4 linked regions of the Saccharomyces cerevisiae S288C genome follow. Changing the gene in region 3 together with the main gene of any one other region gives a genetic interaction. Each region holds a gene or a part of one and is shown on either strand. Other genes may lie near its edges.

The links.
Region 1: mutations in FMP30 (region 3) and YBR238C together harm fitness more than expected from each alone (negative genetic interaction), as found in Saccharomyces cerevisiae (2 studies listed by BioGRID).
Region 2: mutations in FMP30 (region 3) and IZH3 together harm fitness more than expected from each alone (negative genetic interaction), as found in Saccharomyces cerevisiae (2 studies listed by BioGRID).
Region 4: mutations in FMP30 (region 3) and MIC19 together harm fitness more than expected from each alone (negative genetic interaction), as found in Saccharomyces cerevisiae (2 studies listed by BioGRID).

The regions. Positions count from the first base shown.
Region 1 is NC_001134.8:693,396-699,959, reverse strand, and holds YBR238C (uncharacterized protein), read left to right. Parts: upstream 1-2,657; coding exon 2,658-4,853; downstream 4,854-6,564. Other genes in the region: ERT1 (Ert1p), read left to right, coding at 17-1,606; DEAD-box RNA helicase PRP5, read right to left, coding at 5,442-6,564. UniProt on the Saccharomyces cerevisiae protein: May be involved in the processing or stability of mitochondrial mRNAs.
Region 2 is NC_001144.5:184,723-190,458, forward strand, and holds IZH3 (Izh3p), read right to left. Parts: upstream 2,408-5,736; coding exon 776-2,407; downstream 1-775. Other genes in the region: guanine nucleotide exchange factor SDO1, read right to left, coding at 1-204; putative ubiquitin-protein ligase UBR2, read right to left, coding at 2,941-5,736. UniProt on the Saccharomyces cerevisiae protein: ADIPOR-like receptor involved in zinc metabolism either by altering membrane sterol content or by directly altering cellular zinc levels.
Region 3 is NC_001148.4:357,500-361,725, forward strand, and holds FMP30 (N-acetylphosphatidylethanolamine-hydrolyzing phospholipase D), read right to left. Parts: upstream 1,908-4,226; coding exon 501-1,907; downstream 1-500. Other genes in the region: aspartate--tRNA ligase MSD1, read left to right, coding at 1-177; Elongator subunit ELP4, read left to right, coding at 2,710-4,080. UniProt on the Saccharomyces cerevisiae protein: Hydrolyzes N-acyl-phosphatidylethanolamines (NAPEs) to produce N-acylethanolamines (NAEs).
Region 4 is NC_001138.5:166,246-171,169, forward strand, and holds MIC19 (Mic19p), read right to left. Parts: upstream 1,014-4,924; coding exon 501-1,013; downstream 1-500. Other genes in the region: ubiquitin-specific protease UBP6, read left to right, coding at 1-321; DCV1 (Dcv1p), read left to right, coding at 1,643-2,251; YFR012W-A (uncharacterized protein), read left to right, coding at 2,979-3,065; IOC3 (Ioc3p), read left to right, coding at 3,677-4,924.

The sequences.
Region 1 (6,564 bases), on a different chromosome or scaffold from region 3:
TTGATGAATCATCGTGATGTGCACTCCAGATGAAAACGATTACAAAACATCAACTGACCCAGATACATCTGCAAATACAAATCATACTCTCGAAAAAAAGAAGAGAAAAAAGAGAAAAAACACAAACGTGGCATGCGTGAACTGTTCGAGATTGCATGTGTCATGTGAGGCCAAAAGGCCATGCTTACGATGTATCAGCAAGGGCCTCACGGCTACATGCGTTGACGCTCCAAGAAAGAAAAGCAAGTACTTGGCTGGAATACCGAATAGAGAGCTCCCAATGAACATACAACCGGACCTTCCACCCCGCAAGATCATGATACCCATTTATAACAACTCCAGCAATAGTAGCCTCAACGTAAATAACATGGGAGAACAGCAAAAATTCACCAGCCCACAACATATAGTTCACAAAGCTAAATTCCTATCGAATGCTGCAGATTCCGAGTACTCTATTCTGTCGAATATCATCTATCAAGACACATTGTCTAACAAGATCCCTATTGACATCCTGTACTCCAACACCAATTCCACATCCAACTCCACAATAGGCAATAGCAGTAACAATAGCCCTACGGGCACAAATACAAGCCCTGAAGAAACAGAAATGGAGAAAATTCGCCAGTTGTACAGCGAACAGCGAGCAAACATACCCCCACATCCGTATCCATCTTCCAATCAAAACGTTTATTCTATTCTACTGGGACCAAATTCAGCCAAGATTGTAGCTTCGCAAGTTAATCTTTTCGCGAACCATTTCCCCTTAGTGCCCGTTGATTCAGCTGATAATTCCTTAAACTTTAAAAGATTATTGCCACGGGACCCATCTGAAAAGAGCTCCCAAATTAATTGGGACTCAAGCATAAACCAATATTACTTGAACAGCGAAACGGTAACATTTCCCGAGTTGGCTATCCCCTTAAAGCGGAGGAAAAACCATTTGGTCTCTGTATCCCTGGAAAGCTGTTCACCAGACGCTGCCAACATCAAGAGCAATGTAGAATGGGAACATTCATTACGTTATTCTACTCCAATGGAAATATACACCTCCATAAATGCCCCCTTTTCGCATACACCTGGATTCCACCATCTTTTGGTGTACCTAAAGCATCGATTCAACCAGCAGGATCTGGTGAAGATGTGTCGGTCCATTGCCGAATTCCGGCCCATTTTCATTGCGTGTTCTGTAACTTTAACCGAGGAGGACATGATTTTTATGGAGCAATGCTACCAAAGAACTCTATTAGAATATGTAAAATTTATTGCACAAATCGGTACCCCGACATGTATTTGGCGAAGAAATGGTCAAATTTCTTATGTCAACGAGGAATTTGAAATTCTATGCGGATGGACAAGAGAGGAGCTACTAAACAAGATGACTTTTATCGTAGAGATCATGGACGATGAAAGTGTACGCGATTACTTCAAAACGCTCTCTAAAGTTGCATATAGGGACTTCAGAGGATCTGAGAAGATGAAAGTTTGCAGGCTCTTAAGCCCCATCAAGGGCAAGATAATTCATTGTTGCTGTATGTGGACATTAAAAAGAGATGTCTCTGGTTTGCCCCTCATGATCTTGGGTAACTTCATGCCCATACTCAATTGACTTTTTTTTTCTTTTTTTCTCATTTTACTACCTCGTATTATATAATACCTATGCATAGACCAAAAGTAAGTCAAGAACTGTGTTCTTTTAAAAGTGTTAACAGATTCCAGCAATTTTACTTGAAGCCTTGACCAGTTTCGTAGGCGTCTGCTCATTCTGGTCGATATCCAGAGGCTCGAGCACATATAACGAAGGGCCCCTATTGTGTATATGGCGGCCTTTACGAATCTTCCGATATTGGGTAGCTCCGTTTTTCTTCCCTTTTTTTTTTTTTTTTTCTTAAATTTCTTCTTCTTTTTTTGCTCTTCGTTTTATTTCACTCACCTGTTGTCGAAAAAAACATCAGGCGTATACCATCAAAAAACTCAACCAATTGAGCTAGTTTCACTTTCTGTACGCATGAGTTTCCAATGTCTCACAGGGCATGTCTCACACACCACCGCCTTCCACCTTACATAACGAACTGCGGAAAAACAGCATGCCACATGGTACCTAACTGGAAAAATAGCAGCAGTCCTCTTCATATTGTTTGCTTCGTTGTTCATTTTCTCGAAAAATTTCTCTTCTTTTCTTGCCTTGATAATATGTAAAAAAGCTTAAACTTTCAGGCAACTTTTCCCATATTGTTTTTCCGTGTGAAGGGACGAGTGCCTGCAGTGAACTGCTCGTACAAGAGAGGCAATTTCATAGATCCTCTGATTCTGCGGTAATTTCTCAGAGGACAGCACTCTGCACGAGCTTTGTGTGTGCACCAAAAGAAACGGGTTTCTTTCGGAGAAAAAAAGAAAAGAAAATTTTTTCAACCTTGCTCAAGTTATGCCATGGACATCTCGAAGAAAGTCAAAATAAGGCAATAAAGAAACTTTGTCGTTCAGCACTGAAGTTACATATCGCATTGGTTATATCTATAGAAACCCTTTTCCTTTCATTCTTCTCTCAGTTTTTTTTCTTGAATACAGTACGTTCTATAGTTGGATCGAGGTTTTAAAAACGTGTGATTAGCTTGATATTTCTTACTCTAATTGCTTTTCTATCTTGCAAATCTGATCCTATGATCCGTTTAGCTCAGCAAACACAAGTACTGAAGGGCAAACCCCCAAACCAGTTTGTTCCACATCCGACAAAGAATTCGCTGACTCATCCAATGAAATTTAACGGTACAATCGCTATGGAGCACCATGAACACAACTATGCCATTCCTTACACGCCTGCTACTTTTAACAATCCAGCCCTCGCTACTTATCAGGTAAGCCCAGCCAACCATTTTGTTCCTCACTTTGGTGGCAACATTGGAGCCAACAACAACAATCATCTAGCTCAGAATAACAGCAATAATAGTAACAACCATCATAACAATAACCGTAATCATCACCACAATAACAATCGTAACCATCATCAAAATAACCATAATCATAGCAAGTATAATAACTCCAATCAAGGTAATTCAATTAGCCCAGACTCCCCATGGTTTCATAAGGTTTGTGCCTTCGAAGATTGCGTTTCACAGACTCTTTATATGTCACAAACTCCAAGGCGTCAAAACATGAAACACCATTCAGAACATCCAAATTCTAACGCTAATCCATTATTTTGGGATTCTATAGGTAGAGCAATGGGGCTGTATCATGATCTACTCACTACACCGGAATTAAATTCTGATCGTGTCTCCAAGCTTGTACATTTACTTCACAATGGGTTGAGAGCTAATAGAAATCAGTTGACGAGAATGAACAAGAAACCTGATTACGACTCTCAATCCTTTCACAAAGAAATGACAAACTATCTTTGCAAATCTTTGAGAGAGATCTCCGAAGACGTTCTAAACGGCAAGGTCGAACTGAACGAATACGGTGCTATGCATTTGATAACTGCGTTTAAGGAGCTTTTGTTGTTTGAGGAAGCTGTCGACATATGGAAAGCTGCAATCAATGGGCAAAATACCTACACATCTAATATTTTTCTGAATCCAAGAGTTGTCGGTGTTATATTACCCATCTTATACGACAATGGTGTCTCTTATCCAGAAATTCAAGCTCTATATGAAAAGTCTTCATCGATGATTAATTACTTCCATCCAAATCTTTCAGTTGGGATGATCAGAGCCTCTTTATCTGCTAGTGAAAATGACATGGCTCTCAAATTATTCCAAAAATTATGCCAAGAATCAACCGAAATGAAATACGGTTATTTGATAGAAACCCATCTTTCCTTCATTGGTGAATGTAAAGACTTGAATGTGGCTCAAACCTTTTTTGACAAGGCTTTAAATGATGAAATGCCATACAAGATAGACTTGCAAGTTTCCTACGTGAAATCCTTTTTAAGAAACATATGGAGCCAAACCCGTGATTTCAACCACATCTATCAAATCTGGTACAAGTCTTCTTTACATTATGGTAGAAACGTCAACCACGGTATTTCTTCATCTTTGAATGACACTTTTTTCGACATTTTTTTTGAAAATTATGCTGTGGACAAGATGCAAGGTTTTCAAACTTTACAAAATATTATTCAAACTTACAACAACATCAAGCATATAGATGAACCTTTCTTTAACATTATCTTGGCTAAATGCACTGTCTGGCATGACCGCAGTATTTTAGAATACATCGATAAGAGTTACGAGGCGTACCACATTCCAAAAACAATAGTCGCTTATAGAATCTTATTAAAGTCTATGGGATCTGTCGATGATGCTTCGAATGCAGAAATTCTCCAAAGATGGATGGATTTAATCCGCAAATCAGATGAAATTGGTCAAAGATTTATTGCCAACGCAGATTGGGCGGCCTTAAGAGATGCTACTGTAACATGGACCCAAAATGATAGAGATTCCAAGAAAAGTAACATGAACAGCACTCAAATAAGCAGAACCGCAACTCCTTCGCCATCCTTAACTCCAATGGATACTCCAGCACCAGAGCATTTGTTCAACAATCCTCAAAATCCAATGGACTTCTACTCTCATCCAGCATTGCAAGCAGCAACTGCTTCTGGTGCATTTGATGAATTTGCTGCGGAGGCTGCTTCTTCTTCCATACCAGTTGACGGCAGAATGGTTTTGTATTTGAAAATTGTTAAACGTTACTCTCCATATTGCCGTGATTCCAGACAACTAGCCAGATTAACAACAGGGACCGCTGTCAAATATTCCGTTTTGCAAGAAGTTTTGAACCAATTCCAAACTTTAATCGTTAACGATATTCCTATTCCTGAATTACATAATTTGAAGCCAACGTGTGTTTAAAGTTAATATCCTTCACTTTTCACCTTCTTTCTCTACAGAACAAAAAAAGAAAGAAGAGTAACAATTTCAAATTTATATTCCCTATGAATTGATGTGATAAACTTACCATTATTAATATTATTATTCGATTGTCAGTTTTTCCCTTCCTTATTTTTATCGTTATTTCATTATTTTTTATTTGTCATATCACATCTCAAATCAACTAAAAAACTATTATTATATTCTTCAAGCCTACCATTTTCTTGATAAATTTTTTTGAAGTTACTTTTATTCCATGTTTTGTTTTTATTTGCTTTTCTACTTTTATTTTCCCCTCTTAATTTTTTTTTAAAGCATTTACCTTTCATTATATCCTATGAATTCTCATTGTTTCTTTCCCACTTTTTTAAATTCCATTTTATTCGAATCGATAAAAATTTCAAGATTTTTTTCTACATCATATATTATATATTATTTTGTTTTTATTTTTCCTAATAATTCTCTTTTTTTTTTTTTATTATGATTGAATATGCTTTAAATTACCACCCTAAAAATTTCAGAACTAACTACGAAAGTATATAGCACCACGAGTGAGTTAAATTCTAAAAACTAGTATTTAGTACTCTTCAAAGACAAGCTTGCAGCCTTTACGACCCCCTCTTTAACTTTTTGCTCCAGCAATTCTATACTTAATTGTATGTCTTTCTCATCTTGGCCTTCGATCAATAAGTATAGTTTAGGCTCATCGTTTTCATTCTTTGGTTCCTTCCCTTCAGGGTAAAATTTACCCTTGTTAGTAATACTACATCCGGTTTCATGCTTGATAAATAATAAGGTTGTATTCTTTGTAGCCTCCCATCTTACAATCTGGGGTAAATCATTAATATAAACCTTGGCGTAAAAGATGATCGACCCGTCTGTAGACTCTTTGAATAGTTCATAATTGAGTCTCGGAATAAGCGCAGAAGACTCAGACACACTGTCATGCCCTTCGCGTGGATTGCTGATTTTCTTTTCCAAGTCATCGCTCCTCTTATCATTCTTTTTGAGCTCCAAATCTTTATTTTGAGCTTCCTCTCTTTTACTTTTGATATTTTCCAGTCCTTTGCCGCCGAACCCTTTCGACAACCTAAACTTACCCTTTTTCATACCGGATTCAAACTTGGCACTCATTTCCTGAAGTTCTTTTGCTTGCAGAGGGTCTAAAGCTTTTATTTCTTCATCGCGCATTGCCTTGCTCAAGATATAAGCACCTGACAGTTCATCATGCAATAGAAGAGTAATAGCAGTACCGGAGCGACTACCTCTGGCAGTTCTTCCAGTAGTATGAACATATTGCGCGAAAGTTTTGACGGCGTTATAGATAATAACCAACGACACTTCGGGAACATTTAAACCTCTTGAGAGAACCTCTGTACAGAGAAGAATACTGTTCTTTTCTCGTTTGAACTTTTCTAAGTTCATAAGCCTTTCTTGATATGGCTTACCTGCATGAATAGCACAGGTCACAATTCCAGCATTTAACAGCTTTTTTGAAATGAAGTCGCAAATATTCTGACTTGATACAAATATAATGGCTTTAGCATCAACTTCTTCAACATCGCTTGACTGTCCGTCATTTTCACTTTGAACCTCGTCAAAAAATTCACTGCGCTCATGGATAAGCTGCACCAGATTGTCAAATTTTTCATCTTCTGAATGGCATATTCTAAACTTTTGTTTTACGTTTTCA
Region 2 (5,736 bases), on a different chromosome or scaffold from region 3:
CTTATTAGCAACCAAGCCTTTCGAAACATTCATGAAAACTTGATGTATCTGCAGCACTTCATCCAGATCTTTTTCAATTCCTTTTCGATAGTCTTGGACCTTATTTTGGTAGCACGCGACTTCAAATCTCTTGCGAGCCTTTTTTAATCTCACTAATGAAACATTAGTTAACTTAATCTGTCCCGACGGTTGATTGATAGGCATTGCGTGTTTTACCTTTTCTTTCTCAGAACTATTTTAGTAAAAATTTTAAAAACTTTTACTACTGCATGAAATCACTTAAGTTCGGCCTAGAAAAATTTTTTCATGAACATTATTATATATACAAGGCACTGAGCAGAACAATACACGCTAAGTTTTGTTCTTTCATGAGGTCATAATAAGTTAAATAACAGTCAATACATAAATGCAAAACTAAAAGTACACAGTTTTATTATTTTCTTTTCGTCGTAATGTAGTTTTTATAATCAGTCAACTTTTTTTTTGCTTTTAGATTTCGTTTGTTCCTTTTGTCTTTGGATCCAAAGTTTCTTGAAAATGTAGCCAAAACAATGCCAGCAGGAATATCGAAAAAGATGGGTATAATATAAGTAAAAAAAAAATTTTAACAATGAAATAATACAGGAGAATTCGTGGTTTACAATTTCTGGTTTTTTTCGAAATTGCTATGTGGCTTCTCCAACAATGTAATTGTAGGCTTTTCTTTCTTTTAAGTCCGTTTATCGTATACAGAAAAAGTGCAGGATGTTGTAAGTAAAGGTAGTCAGTCATACCATCATGACAAAATCCACCTCTTGGCAAACATATCTAAAATAGCTCTATAATGGCCGATGACACCCAACACTACGAAGAAATGCCAAAAAGTGTGCGAACAACCAAAATAGTCAACCCACCATAGAGATTTAAATGATTTGGCATGAGACGGACAGGAACTGCATTTGGAATGGGCTGTTGGCACCTCTCTAAAATGAATTTCCCTTTGCTTTGTGATGATTTCTAAATCAGTAGATAATTCGTAGTTTGTTGGAATGGTCTTATCAACCTGAACGTCAGATCTGAACCGTTCAGGAATGAACGAACCGTAAAATACCACACCAACCAAATACCAAACAACAGATTTGTATGTGACGGGGCTAAATAGCGTTGCAGCATAATGAAGATCAGTCAAAAATATCAAATGTAAAAACGACAATACACCCATAGTAGCCAGCAAAATGAAGAATCTAATTCTTAATGGCCTTGCTTCAGGTCTATCAAAGCGAGGCGACCAATTCATAAACACACCAAATACACCCAGCGCCAGAGAAATACTCATGTAAGTGTACATCGCCCAGTAACATGAATACATGGTAACAAACTCCGTTGTCAATATCGAAGCTGTAATTAAGATCGTAATACCGCTATAGTCGACACACGCAAATTTAGAACGTAGCTTCAAGAAGGACGTTCCGTTGAAAGTATGCCAAAACACGGAGCTTAGCATACATTTCAACGCAGCTGCCAAAAACATGAAAACAATCCATCTAGCCTGTGGTGGAACCTGGGAATTCCGCCAAACTTCAGACTGAGGGAAATCGTAAATTGCCAAGTAGATTATATAAATGGCTCCTAACAAATGAGACCAAATATTTGAAGTTTCATTATGCCAGCCGTACCAGTTAAAGATAGACAACAAAGATTTGGAATGGGTATTGTAAAACCTATAGCCATGGATTATGTATCTGTTTTCCCTCCATGGGAATGGCAACTGATAATAATGTAAATGTTGAGTTTCACCTAGACTATACGCTTTGCCATGGTTGTATGAGTTTATAAAAGACTTGATATCGGTAGTAGGATTCAAAGGTTCTTCAATGAGGATTTCCGTCTTTACCATGGATTTTCTCATTGGACCGCAATAGTCTTTCACGCTGGAAATATAATTGTTTTCCTCTTTGATTTTTGTATCATTGAGACGACTTGTTGGGGAACGTAACGAGGACTTCGCTTGAGAACATACAGTTGAAGATGAAGACACCAGTGAAGTGGATGTAGAAGCATTGTTAAGCTTGAAAGTAGCGACTGAATTCACCAAAGTGGCTGCATCTGAATCTCCCAGTGAAAACTGAGATTCTGTATTCAGAGACTTGCCACTGTTTCTTTTGTACACAGAACTTGTTACTTCCTTTTCTTTTGTTGGACGAATTATCTCCAAATCATCATACCGCCCACTTTCAGAGTGTTTAACACTTTCATCAATAGTTGAAAATGGATGAGGAACGAATTTTGAGTAGTTGTAATTATAGATGGATTTACCGGATTTTTTCACCTTCTGAAAATTGTCCACACCCTTCTGCTTTAGCCTTGATAGAGATCCCATGGGTGAGGGTATATACTGAGTTAAGCTTTTGCTTGACGAGTCCATCATGTACTTAATTTGATTGTCTGTTGGGATGTGAACTATTTTTCAGCTTATCTGCGTTGCAGCTTCTTCTTTGTCCACTTTACAATGGCTAAACTTTACCAGACGACAAAACAAGTGTAGAATTTGAATCAACTGTGTCCTAAAGAAAAAATAATGTCCAAAAACTCTTATTATAAAACGAGTAAACCACCACTTCGCTCGAATCGCCAAGCTTTCTAGATGTACACCCACGCTGTGTCACCTTATGACTATATACCTTATCCATCAACACTTTCTCCATTTCCTGCAGGGTAAAAAGAAAAGTGAAGTCACCCTGCACTATACGAGCTTCAGCCCATACCCCACACTAAAACATTTCTTTTTCTGCGGCATTTCTTTTTTTTTCGGTCCGTCCCTGTCCCTTCCCACGAGAAAGCGTAATGATCCTCGACCCTACCCCACTTCCCCACGCCAATTAAAACAGATAAAATTTCTTTTGATTTTTCGGATACGCTAATTTCGTAGCAATTTTGAATGACTAGACATTTGTTGGATAACTACATAGTCTCCCACCCACCAAGATCTGCACTGCCGTCCGTTAGTCGGAACACTATGTGCGGAATCATGTTGCCAAAAACAATCTCATTCGCTAGATTCGCGTATCTCGCCCGATTCAAATAGACGGGAGTACCGAATTTGTAGTCTTCGTTGGTCTCTCCGTATTTACTTAGATAAGGTGCAGCATAAAATGTACCTCTTTTGCCGTATGACAGATATATCGCATTTGTGCCGGTCATTAAGAAAACTCCGTAAGCGGAGGTGATTTCGCATCCATTTCTCATATGATCAGTACATTCCCCCTGTAAATAACCTTGCAGTGCTATGCTTTTTTGAATATGGCATTTTTGGCCACACAACAAGCATACTGCGATTTCGTATTTATCACATTTATTCGATATTTCATCATTATCAAGGGAAAATTTGGAAAGGTTCAATGGTAGTTCGATAAGCTGGATATGCTCTGGTGAAGGATATGCTCTTGTGTTTATGTTCTGCACCATGTCATATATTACTTGCTGAATTCTCAAATTATCATTACCATCATTATACCTTTCTATATTTTGTGTTAGTTCGTTGTAGAAAAAATCCTTCAAAAAGTGAGTTAAATTGGGTAATTTAAAATACCGGAAAATAAGCTCTATTTCACGCTGTTTGACGTCCATGAAATTATTGCTGCGGTTATTATTATTATCACCATCACCATCATCATCATACTGAATGTTGAATAATAAGAAGGTTCTTCTACAAAAAATGGACAATGACTCTAGTAATAGAGAGCATATAAAGTCTTTAATTTTCTCTAAACTTGTAAAATCAAACCGAACGTCGTCTGGTTTAAAGAGATCAACATACTTTTTAAAAGTATTGAATAGATATGAAAAGCTTGTCGATGGTTCCTCAGATCCGTTTGATGATATTTTGATTTTATTTCGACAGTCTTTGTAAAAGTTTACTCTCATCATATCTCTTGCAAGCAACAGTAGTAGTTGATGGAACCTTCTTTTGAACATTTCATAGATACATAGGTTAGGCGGTTGCGGGGTTTTTCCTCCATCAATATTATCAAAATTTTGACTCATATACAAAAGTAGATTCACATTATTACCCTTTATTAGAAACTCATTCCAATTCCATATTTTACGAGAGATTTCGCTGCTGAATGTTTTTGAATTAACAAATTTTTTGTAAATAAACGACTTTAGCTCACAAACTAAATGTAAGGTTAAAATGCACTGACTGGATATTCTTTCCATATTCACTATTTTTCCTTCCTTTTTGTGCGATCTTAATCTGAGCTCAGTATTTGAAATAGTATTAATAAAAACACTATTAACAACTTTATATGCATCTTCGATAGTCGTGACTTTTTTACCCTGAAGATCACCTAGAATCATCGCTGCTTTAATACAAATAGAGCTCATTGGGTCAAGGTTTTCTTCCGCTTCACTTCGCTTTTCAATACACATAAAAAACTGGCTCGAAGTTCTCTTATCTATATCATTTGTTTTTGGTAGAAATGAATTACTTAAGGAATTGCATACGGGACAATATATCAACCCTGAACCATACGATAATGGAATATTTTTTGTAGTTTGGTTTTGTATTCCGCGAATCGACTTCATATGGCCACTTAAACATTTGGTATGAGACCCATGCCCGCATGCTCTTAATACTGGTTCACAGCTAGTAAATTTCAATCTCGTTCCATCATCATCCTGGGGGTTTTCTTGGATTGCACTGTCTTTTGTTTGCTTACCACTGAACAGCGAATTTATTCTATTAACATCTGTAGGATTCGTAAAATCAATTCCATGATCACATATGTTCCGTTCTTGGTATGAAAAATAAACAAATACATCGTCATCCTTCGGCATCTTGCAAAATACGCAATCATCATCGCAGCAACTGTTGATTGTGTTACTACTATTCTCTGCATTTATTCTAGTGGGAGATAAACTAGGTGATGTGGTTCTGGGTGTACTAATATCGGAAGTATCTACACTATTGTTTTCCATGAATTTCATTTGCTGTTGAGCCAACTTCTTCATTAATTTTTTCTTTCTCAATCGAGCAAGATGTTTTTTCCTTTCAAATTCTTTATCCTTGTGGCTTTTATCTTCCTTTGTAGGCCACAATATTCCTGGTGTATATGACGTGGTTTGCTCCCTCAAATAACTGTTTACATTTACGTGAGGCGCTGTTTCCATTAAATACCTGAAAATTTCCCTAATCTTACCATGAGATTCCGAAAAATTATCCTTCAACAAACAGTAATACAGGATAGAACCAATGCTGTGGTAATGACAGAATTCTGTGTCCACAATTGCGTATTCATGCCACAGTATCCCCATAAATTCATTCAGATTATTAACCACGCATAAATGAATCAAATGAACCACTCTCGGCAATAAATTGTCATAATCATATTTTATAATGTGATCTAAAGTATTTTTCAAAAATAAACCAAAAGTATTCACTGATGATATTGAATACAGCCCAGAAAATAATGTATTCTTCAACAAATCTTTAACCTTTTTTGCTGGTACAAAAGTATCTTCATATTTCATTTTCTTCAAATTTGCCATATTCAGCCTGATATTTTTCTCTACATCATACCTCCTACTGGAAGACAACCCTATATAATAAGGATCAATCTCATCTTTATACTTTTCTTTCAACACGAAAATGCCATTGTCAGTCAAGCTTACAGGAGAAGTGTAATTGGCGTATTTTTCGAGATATATATCAAATGAAGGGTGCTTGGTGATATGTTCTGGAATACAGTTAACAAT
Region 3 (4,226 bases):
TTTGCTATTGGTTTTGATCGTATGTGCGCTATGATCTGTGAAACTGAGAGTATAAGGGACGTAATCGCCTTCCCAAAAAGTATTACCGGGGCTGATTTGGTTGTCAAGAGTCCAAGTGTGATACCTGAAAGCATTCTGGAACCTTACAATATCAAGTATAGTAATTCAAAAAAATGAGCAGAAGTTGATGTTACCTAGATGTGAGAGAATCTTAGTGTGGCTGCAGTATGTAGGTTTTTCTTGTAAATATTATACCTATTTTGTTTGCCTTGTATATGAAGAGATGAAATAACAAATCGATATCCATTACTTGAATTGATTTTTTATCAACATTAATTGTAATTTCTTTATAACATCTTATTGGATATCATACGAATGTTTTTAAATTACAAAATCATTAAATCATAAAATGTTCAGTGAGTACAATCTCCCAAAGTCTACGTTTACTGTAATTTATCGCTATTTACAGGGACGCTGCAGCTTAAATATTAGCGCCTAAGTTAGTCGAAGCATTCTGTCTTGCCCAATTCTGGACAGTAGCAGCGGTCTTTAAACCCACCCCACTCGGCCAACATTTCTAATTTTTCCTTTGGCTCTAAGAAATATTCTCCGCTTAATACAAAGGTCCCCCAATGAACGCCTAATACATTTCGAGCTTCTAGATCTTTCATAATCTTGAGAACCTCTTGAGGATTAATATGTCGTGGTTTTTGGTGCCACTCAGGGCAATACTGACCACATGGAAGCAGCGCTAATTTACAACCTTTGCCAAAGCGTTCTTTAATTCTAACGAATAAATCTTTCACATATCCAGTGTCACCAGCATGAAAAAGTATGGGATTACCATGGTGTGTTAATAAAAAGGAGCACCATAGAGACTTGTTCGTATCTAAGAGCGATCTCCCAGACCAATGCATGGCAGGAGTAGCCGATATGTGGTATATCTCATTGTTTTTCTTTACTTGCAAAGTTTCCCACCAAGATAATTCTAGGACATTATCACAGCCGTTACTTGTCATATAAGATTTCATTCCTTTAGGTACTATCCATAAGGGAGAGTCTTTGCCACTCCAGTATTCCAAGCTTTCTAAATCCAGGTGATCGGGGTGATTATGGGATACAAGGATGATATCTGGTTTGGGCACCTCTGTAATTTGAGATGGCATTTGAGTAATTCTTTTAGGACCCAGGGTCTTGTGGATAAGAAAGTCACTGAACAGAGGATCAGTAAGTATCCTCAATCCATTATAAACCGTGTAGTTACAGGACTGGCCCAGCCATGTGTTATAGACTGGGCACTTTGATCCTTCATTTTCTTCTACTGCAGTCGGTATGTGCAATTCGTCTAACACTTTGCATTCTAGCGGCAATGCCGTTTCCTCTGCGGGGTCGACGTCCACTAAGTTAGGCCCCCATGTTGGCTTGTGTACAGGCATTAACTTATTCATTTGGTGTACATCACGTGGAATACCTCCCCTATTTCTTTCAAATAATTCGAACACTCTATTTGCAAAGAATTCAAAAACGGTCTGAATCCTGTATTCTTCGAACGGGTTCTCAAATCTGCCTAAAACTTCCAAAGGGCTATATTTTAGCAAGGATCCCTTATAAGTGACCTCGTTATTATTCTCCTCTAATCTTTGACACATTTCGTTTCTTAAATCAATTTGCTTCACTGTAGCCAATGATACATAAAACGCATATCCTGTGTAAGGTACCAAAACAGACAACAGAAGTATACGTGCGTATTTTCTCGAGCATTTTTGTATAGGGCGTGTCTTTTGCGAAGCATGTCTTTTGAAAGTTGACAATGATGTCTGGGGTCTAAACAGCTCTGATTCTCGTAAACGCACTAGTCTCCTTTGGAGAAGAAGCCTCATCTGAACATGGCAGGTAACAAAATTCATTTGCAACACAAGCAGGCATGCAATCCTTCAGTAATTGGAGTGCTACTGTTCACACCATATTCTCGCTATTCTCGAACTACGTTTTTTTTTTTTTGTTAAGCATCAGTAGTGAGTCTTCGGGAACTGCTTAACGACAGTAAAGGAAAAAAAAAACTAGCAGCTGTTGATAATATTCAGAAAATGAACGCAGAAGGAATCATTAGCTAAAAAGTTTATTATTAAAATCAGACATATATCTCATTATAATATTTTTTTTTTATAATACCACCATTTGTTCTCATATAATACTGATAAATATCGCATCGAATGGAAAAGACAAATAGGAGGCCGCTATTGTAATTTGGGCCTTAACCTATTTATTCTCTCTCTTTTAATTGATATTTTAATCTTTTTGAAGCCTACAATGTATTTTGGGCGATAATCAAGGAGAATATCAGTGTCATATACTCACTGTGGTAAATGTATTTCTAAAGTAGTTCCAATTCTTTCTTCAAAAAAGGCCACTAGACGATGTGCTTTCTTGCACAAGCATTTTGCTGGGCTATCTTCAATAGTGATAATTCTAACTAACTCAAAACCAGATGGCAAGTTCTTCCCTATGGTCGACTTCTCTCAGACGCAATAGTAGCTATGTTATTGATGGCTTTTGACGCCAGACCGGGTAAAGCGCATGGAATGAACTCTAAACTGTTAAAATAACAAAAACGACATATGAAGATGTCGATGAGGCTGGATAGTTTAGAGATGAGGTGCAGAGAACAACATTGTATAACAAATTCGGCTCCCAAATATCGCATGTACCATGTCATTTCGTAAAAGAGGTGAAATACTGAACGATAGAGGTAGCGGGCTAAGAGGTCCACTGTTAAGAGGTCCTCCACGAACTTCCTCAACGCCATTGAGGACAGGCAACAGAAGAGCCCCTGGAAATGTGCCCTTGTCTGACACTACAGCGAGATTAAAGAAGTTGAATATTGCGGACGAATCCAAGACAAAAATGGGGCTGGATAGCTCCCATGTGGGCGTTAGACCTTCTCCTGCAACCTCTCAGCCGACGACATCAACTGGGAGTGCTGACCTGGACAGTATACTAGGCCATATGGGGCTGCCGCTGGGAAACTCTGTACTAGTAGAGGAGCAGAGCACGACAGAATTTCACTCTATTCTCGGTAAACTGTTTGCCGCACAGGGTATCGTTCATAATAGAATTTCAGATAGCAGTGCTGATAAAACTAGAAACGGCGACACTCATGTCATTGTCTTGTCATTGAACCAAATGTTTGCAAAGGAGCTACCTGGTATCTACAAGGGATCACGTAAACAAATGAAGAAAAACCTAATCTCTGAAGAAGAATCAAAAGTTACTGTTCAAAATTTGAACGAGACCCAGAGATCGACGCCTTCCAGGTACAAAGACCTGAAAATTGCATGGAAATATAAACTGGCAGATGAAAAGAGATTGGGTTCTCCGGATCGAGATGACATCCAACAAAATTCTGAGTACAAGGACTACAATCATCAGTTTGATATTACAACGCGTCTGATGCCCGCTCCCATAGCATCTGAACTGACATTTATCGCCCCAACTCAACCTGTCTCCACTATTTTGAGCCAAATAGAACAGACTATTAAAAGGAATGACAAGAAACTGATAAGAATTGTTATTCCTTCCCTTCTACATCCGGCAATGTATCCGCCCAAAATGTTTGAATCATCTGAAATAATAGGTTTAATGCACGGTGTGAGGAGTCTTGTCAAGAAATACTATGAGCGGGTTGTACTGTTTGCTTCCATATCCATAGACATTATCACTCCCCCATTACTGGTATTGCTGAGAAACATGTTCGATTCTGTTATCAATCTAGAACCCTTTAACCAGGAGATGACTGAGTTCTTAGAACGTGTTTATAAATCGCAACCGGGGAAGATTCAACATGGGCTAGTCCACATATTGAAATTACCAGTTTTCACGGACCGTGGAGAGATGAGAGTTTTAAAGTCTGAATGGGCATTTAAGAATGGCAGAAAAAAGTTTGAAATAGAACAATGGGGCATACCCGTGGATGATGCTGAAGGTTCAGCTGCCTCGGAACAGTCACATTCACACTCGCACTCGGATGAAATCTCACATAATATACCTGCAAAGAAGACCAAGATATCTTTAGACTATTAAGAATATGGTTCAATTTATGGGAAATATACGGCATGCTTTTTAACAAGCGTGGTGAATGTATTATTTTTTTATCTGTTATATCTTAAATACGACTATTATATATATATCCATCGTCTTTTTCCTGACTCTAAGCGGTGGCAGCTGGA
Region 4 (4,924 bases), on a different chromosome or scaffold from region 3:
TATGAGACACAAGTGGCTCTTAACGAAAGTGAAAAAGATCAATGGCTCGAAGAGTATAAGAAACATTTTCCTCCAAACTTGGAAAAAGGTGAAAACCCATCTTGTGTTTATAACTTGATCGGTGTCATTACACATCAAGGTGCCAATTCTGAGTCTGGACACTATCAAGCTTTCATAAGGGACGAACTGGACGAAAATAAATGGTACAAATTTAATGATGATAAAGTTAGCGTTGTTGAAAAGGAAAAAATTGAATCTTTAGCCGGTGGGGGCGAAAGTGATAGTGCACTGATCTTAATGTATAAAGGATTTGGTCTGTAAGTCCATTTTTCATTTTTTCAAAATTAATAGTTTTTTCGGAATATACATATACATTTTTTTACATACACATAAAAATATTTCTCTCCCTTTTACGTTCATCCGCCAATCGATAAAAATGCATTTTATATACATGAAATGGCGAATTCTTTTTGGTCGAGTTTATGTATACTTTTTCTTATTCAACCCATAACGAGCTTCTTGAATTCTTCCATCTCTTCGTAACAATTCAATGGCTTGCCCTTATTGGCCAAAAGACACTCAGTCAATTTTGCCTTTATAGAAATGCTGCCGTTGTCGGTTTTTTTATCAGATTTACCTTTGGCACCCCCATATTTCTCCAACTTTTGTAACTCTAATTGATCAAATAATGTTAGTTTCTTGTTCAACGACTCGATTTGATTATTCAATGAACTTGATGATATTCCATCAACGGCATCCTTGTCGTCGTCTGATAATAGTGAATTGTTCAAAGTATCTTCAAACTTCTTTAACGTTTCAACTTCTAGGTTAGATAGCCTTTGTGAAACCTTCTTCTCAATGAACTTTTCTGCATTTTGCTTGGTGACATAGTCTGATTCCTTCGATGAATCCAATTGAGAAACCAAAGACTGTGAAAAATCGATCTGTGTTAGCGGAGTATAGACTTGTTGTTTTTCTGCACCAGCACCCACTTTGGAAGTGTTTGAACCCATGATTGACTCTGTATTAGTCGATATACCACCTTGTTTTTGTTCTTGAATTTTTTTTTGATTAGCAATCTCTTTGAAATGTTCCTCCTCACTTGTTTTTTCCTCTGCGTCTCATTGGAAGAAGAAATATATATATATGCGACATACCACGAATATTCGTAGTTTTTTACAACAAAAACGACTCTCGGTAGCCAAGTTGGTTTAAGGCGCAAGACTGTAATTTACCACTACGAAATCTTGAGATCGGGCGTTCGACTCGCCCCCGGGAGATATTTTTTTAAATCTTGCAGCTTTCAATATTTAAATATAAGTAATAAACCATCAGTTAAACAACAGAACAAGTATTTCTTAAATCTCATGAAAAATCTAATAATGTTATTTGCCGAATTTTATTATTGATTTGGTTGGTCTTCTTGATAATTCTGTGGGCGCTTTTTTTGTGACATATTAAAATTGCGAAATTGCAAACGAAAATATAAATATATATGAATGTTAATAAATAAATTATTTAATTGATGATTGAGGATGAAATACACTTTTATGATCTGTCCTTACGCGTAATAATTACAAGAAGGTGAGAAAATTGCCTTTTTTTGCTAATTTTTTTTTTTTGGTACCATATTCAATAATTGATGCTAAATTATAAATTGATTTTATTGTTTTCCTCTTTCCTACAATTAATCTCTTTTTCTGGCTTTATGATATGTTGTTTAACTTCACCAATAATTAGAAACTGGGGGCTGGCTCAAGCTGCTGGAGTTTCATATGGTACCTTTGGTTACTGTAAAACTTTGAATTCTTTTTCCTGCTCTCGAGTACGTTTAATATATAACACCTCGAAAGAAATATTACCTGGCCCTTCTCTTGAACGTTGGTGGCTGAGTCCTAAGGCAAGACATACAATAGGAGGACTTTTGATTTCGATACCGGTTGCTACATGTTTGACTTTCATTTCTTTTGCACTTCCCTTGGTTATTATTTTTCTTTTTCAGACTGGAGGAACTAATGTCTCACTTATTACTTCCAACGCTATATTACACATATTGACACTTTTATCAACTATTTTTGCATGCACCGTGATCCTGTTACTTTGCATGCACCGTGATCCTGTTACAATTTCATCCTTATACGACTTGGTGTGGCTGGCTAACTGTTCCCTGTTCCCTCTGCTCGTTATTGGCGTGCATTTTCTCAGTTTTAGGTTTGATACGTCTGCGCAGTCAGACAGAAAACATAGCTAAAGAAGCTAGTATAGAGAACGTAGACAGTATTCTCAAACTATATGGAACGAGTCAAACATCAAGTTCCCTTGGCGAAAATTATCCACAAACAACTAAGGGCACAGACCAATCTGTGTATGACATCACAAGTCTTTTTAATGATCTACCAAGGACCTTAGATCCCAATCAAGATAAACTGGCGGTAACAAATCAAGATGAACCACCGCCTGAAATCAAATCTCCATTGAAGCAAGCAGGTTTGGTGAGTTTCTTCGCTCCAAAGTTGAATGGTAAACAAATATTTTCTAGAAGGCATGTTGAAAATCAAAAATCCTTATCTTTGGATGAAATCAATATAACCGACTTACCTGCAAAGCAAGAAAATGTGGAAATGCCTACTGAAAAAAAAAAGGCAAATATTTTATATTATGAGGGAATCTCAAGCCATTCACAAGATAACTACGACCCTCCTTGGTTATTTGGCGTTGAGGCTACCCAATCAGCCGATTGCTTTAAAATATATTCAAAAAAAAATCATTGTCTCACAGAGCCCCGCCAATATCAACTACAACAACCAAATAATTACCAGGATCAAAGTGAGGTTCCTCATAACTCTTTCATTCCTTGGTATTCCCGAAGAAGACCAGTAGGATACAACCACAATTACAATCGCTACTACTCACAGACAACTCATGGTAACAGCGAACACTCCCGACAAACATTGCCACAGACCTACAACATACACAGCATGCTCCCCAGAAAGTACAAGCCCGCCTACAAAAAACAGGCACATCGTGTGAAGAGTAATCCACAACCAGCTTATACTTTCCAATGACAAAATAACAAGAATAAAGTACTATCCAATCTGCTTTTTTTGTACGCGTTTTGTTGGCGCGCCGCAATTTGAAAAATAAGAATAAAGTACTTCTTGCTACTATTTAATGATTCCATCCGTATTCCACATCGTTGACGTCTGAGTCTGATAGACTAGTATATAGAAAATAAAAATAAGATAGAGTAAATAGTATGCTACTTTTATCGAGCCCATCTTTTTGAGCTTAATTTCTGAAACAAAGAAAGGAAGTGCCCATTTTTCCTCTTAACGGTTTCTAAAATTACTGAAGAGAAAACAACTTTTAGATGTAATTTATTTACATTAACATTAGCAGTGACTACAGAGGACAGGTATGGCGGTATGGCGGTATTTGTTAACATTGACTTTCCTTATGCGTGGAAGTACTAGTAATATTCCCTCTCGGATCATAAAAGTGAAATATCGTGCTTCACGATTTGCTGAAACTTTAACAAATTCATTGAAATTACGTGAGTTTATACTAATGAATGGACTTAATTTCTTAAGATGGTGATATCTTCCACATTGGTTTCGGCCAACAAAACTATCACTTACCAAGTACTTCAAGCAAAGTTTGCAATCCCCTATTGTTTATGGATTCTCCATCCAATTCTATCCAGAATTTGCAGCAAGAAGCCCAGGGCAGCTCTTCCGCACAGCTTGCTGACCATGATCATGATCGCGTATCAATGGCTATGCCCTTACAAACCGATCAAAGTGTTAGTGTTTCACAATCTTCTGATAATTTAAGGAGATCAAGACGTGTTCCTAAGCCAAGAACGAGCATTTATGATGAATACGAGGAAGAGTTAAAGGAAAGGGCGAATAAACCCAAGAGGAAGAGACCTGCTCCTCCTAAGAAAAAGGCACCTTCCACACAGAACTCTAAATCAAATGATAAAGTAGAGAAAAAGAAGACTACCTCAATTGCTAAGGATGGCAAACCTACACTGAAGACTAATGACAAAAAAGTGGCGCCGAAACCTAAACCAGCCCATGAACAAGTAGAACCCGCTTTGATCCCTAGCAATTGGACTTCTGTAATACCCTTGCTTACTTCTGATTTCAAGAACCAGTATAGTGTCATCTCTAGGTTAAAAAATCCGAACATGAAGCCTGTGCCATATGCTGGAGATATCATTAAGCTGATGGCGTTCATAAATAAGTTTAGTTCTTTTTTCCATTCTGACCTACAAAATTTATCATTCCAAGATTTTGAGGTCGGTTTAGATTTGTATCCCGGCGATCCTAATGGAAGCGCAGCTGGTATAGTGAAGGGTCCTGAAGACACCTCCTTATTGCTATATCCTGATTTTATGGCCATCAAGGATATCGTCTATTGCCAAGACAAAATGAATTTACTGTTCCTATCCTTGTTAGATTTAACATTTACTGAAAATTTTGATGGTAAAAGTGCCAAGAAGAAAGGTCCATTAACAACCTGGGAGAATCTAAAATCGTCCTCCAAGAAAGTATTTTCCAATCCTCTTTATCGGTTAAGACTTGTAGCTCGCGAATGGGGGTATCCACGAGAATGGCGTCAACAACTCCCCAGTGACCAAGATATCTCCAAACCTAAAACTGCTCTTTTTGAACAAGATGAACAAACACCAGTGGTGGATCCCAGTCATCCAGAAATTTTAACGCCAAATATATATACCTGGAATGCTAATGAACCACTCCCATTGGAATCAAATCCTTTGTATAATCGAGAAATGGACAAGAATGGAATTTTGGCGCTCAAACCAATGGATCGCGTTGTTTTATTGAGGGCGTTAACTGACTGGTGCGCTTCCCATTCATCTGCTATTCATGACGAGATATACAAATTAACTCATGGT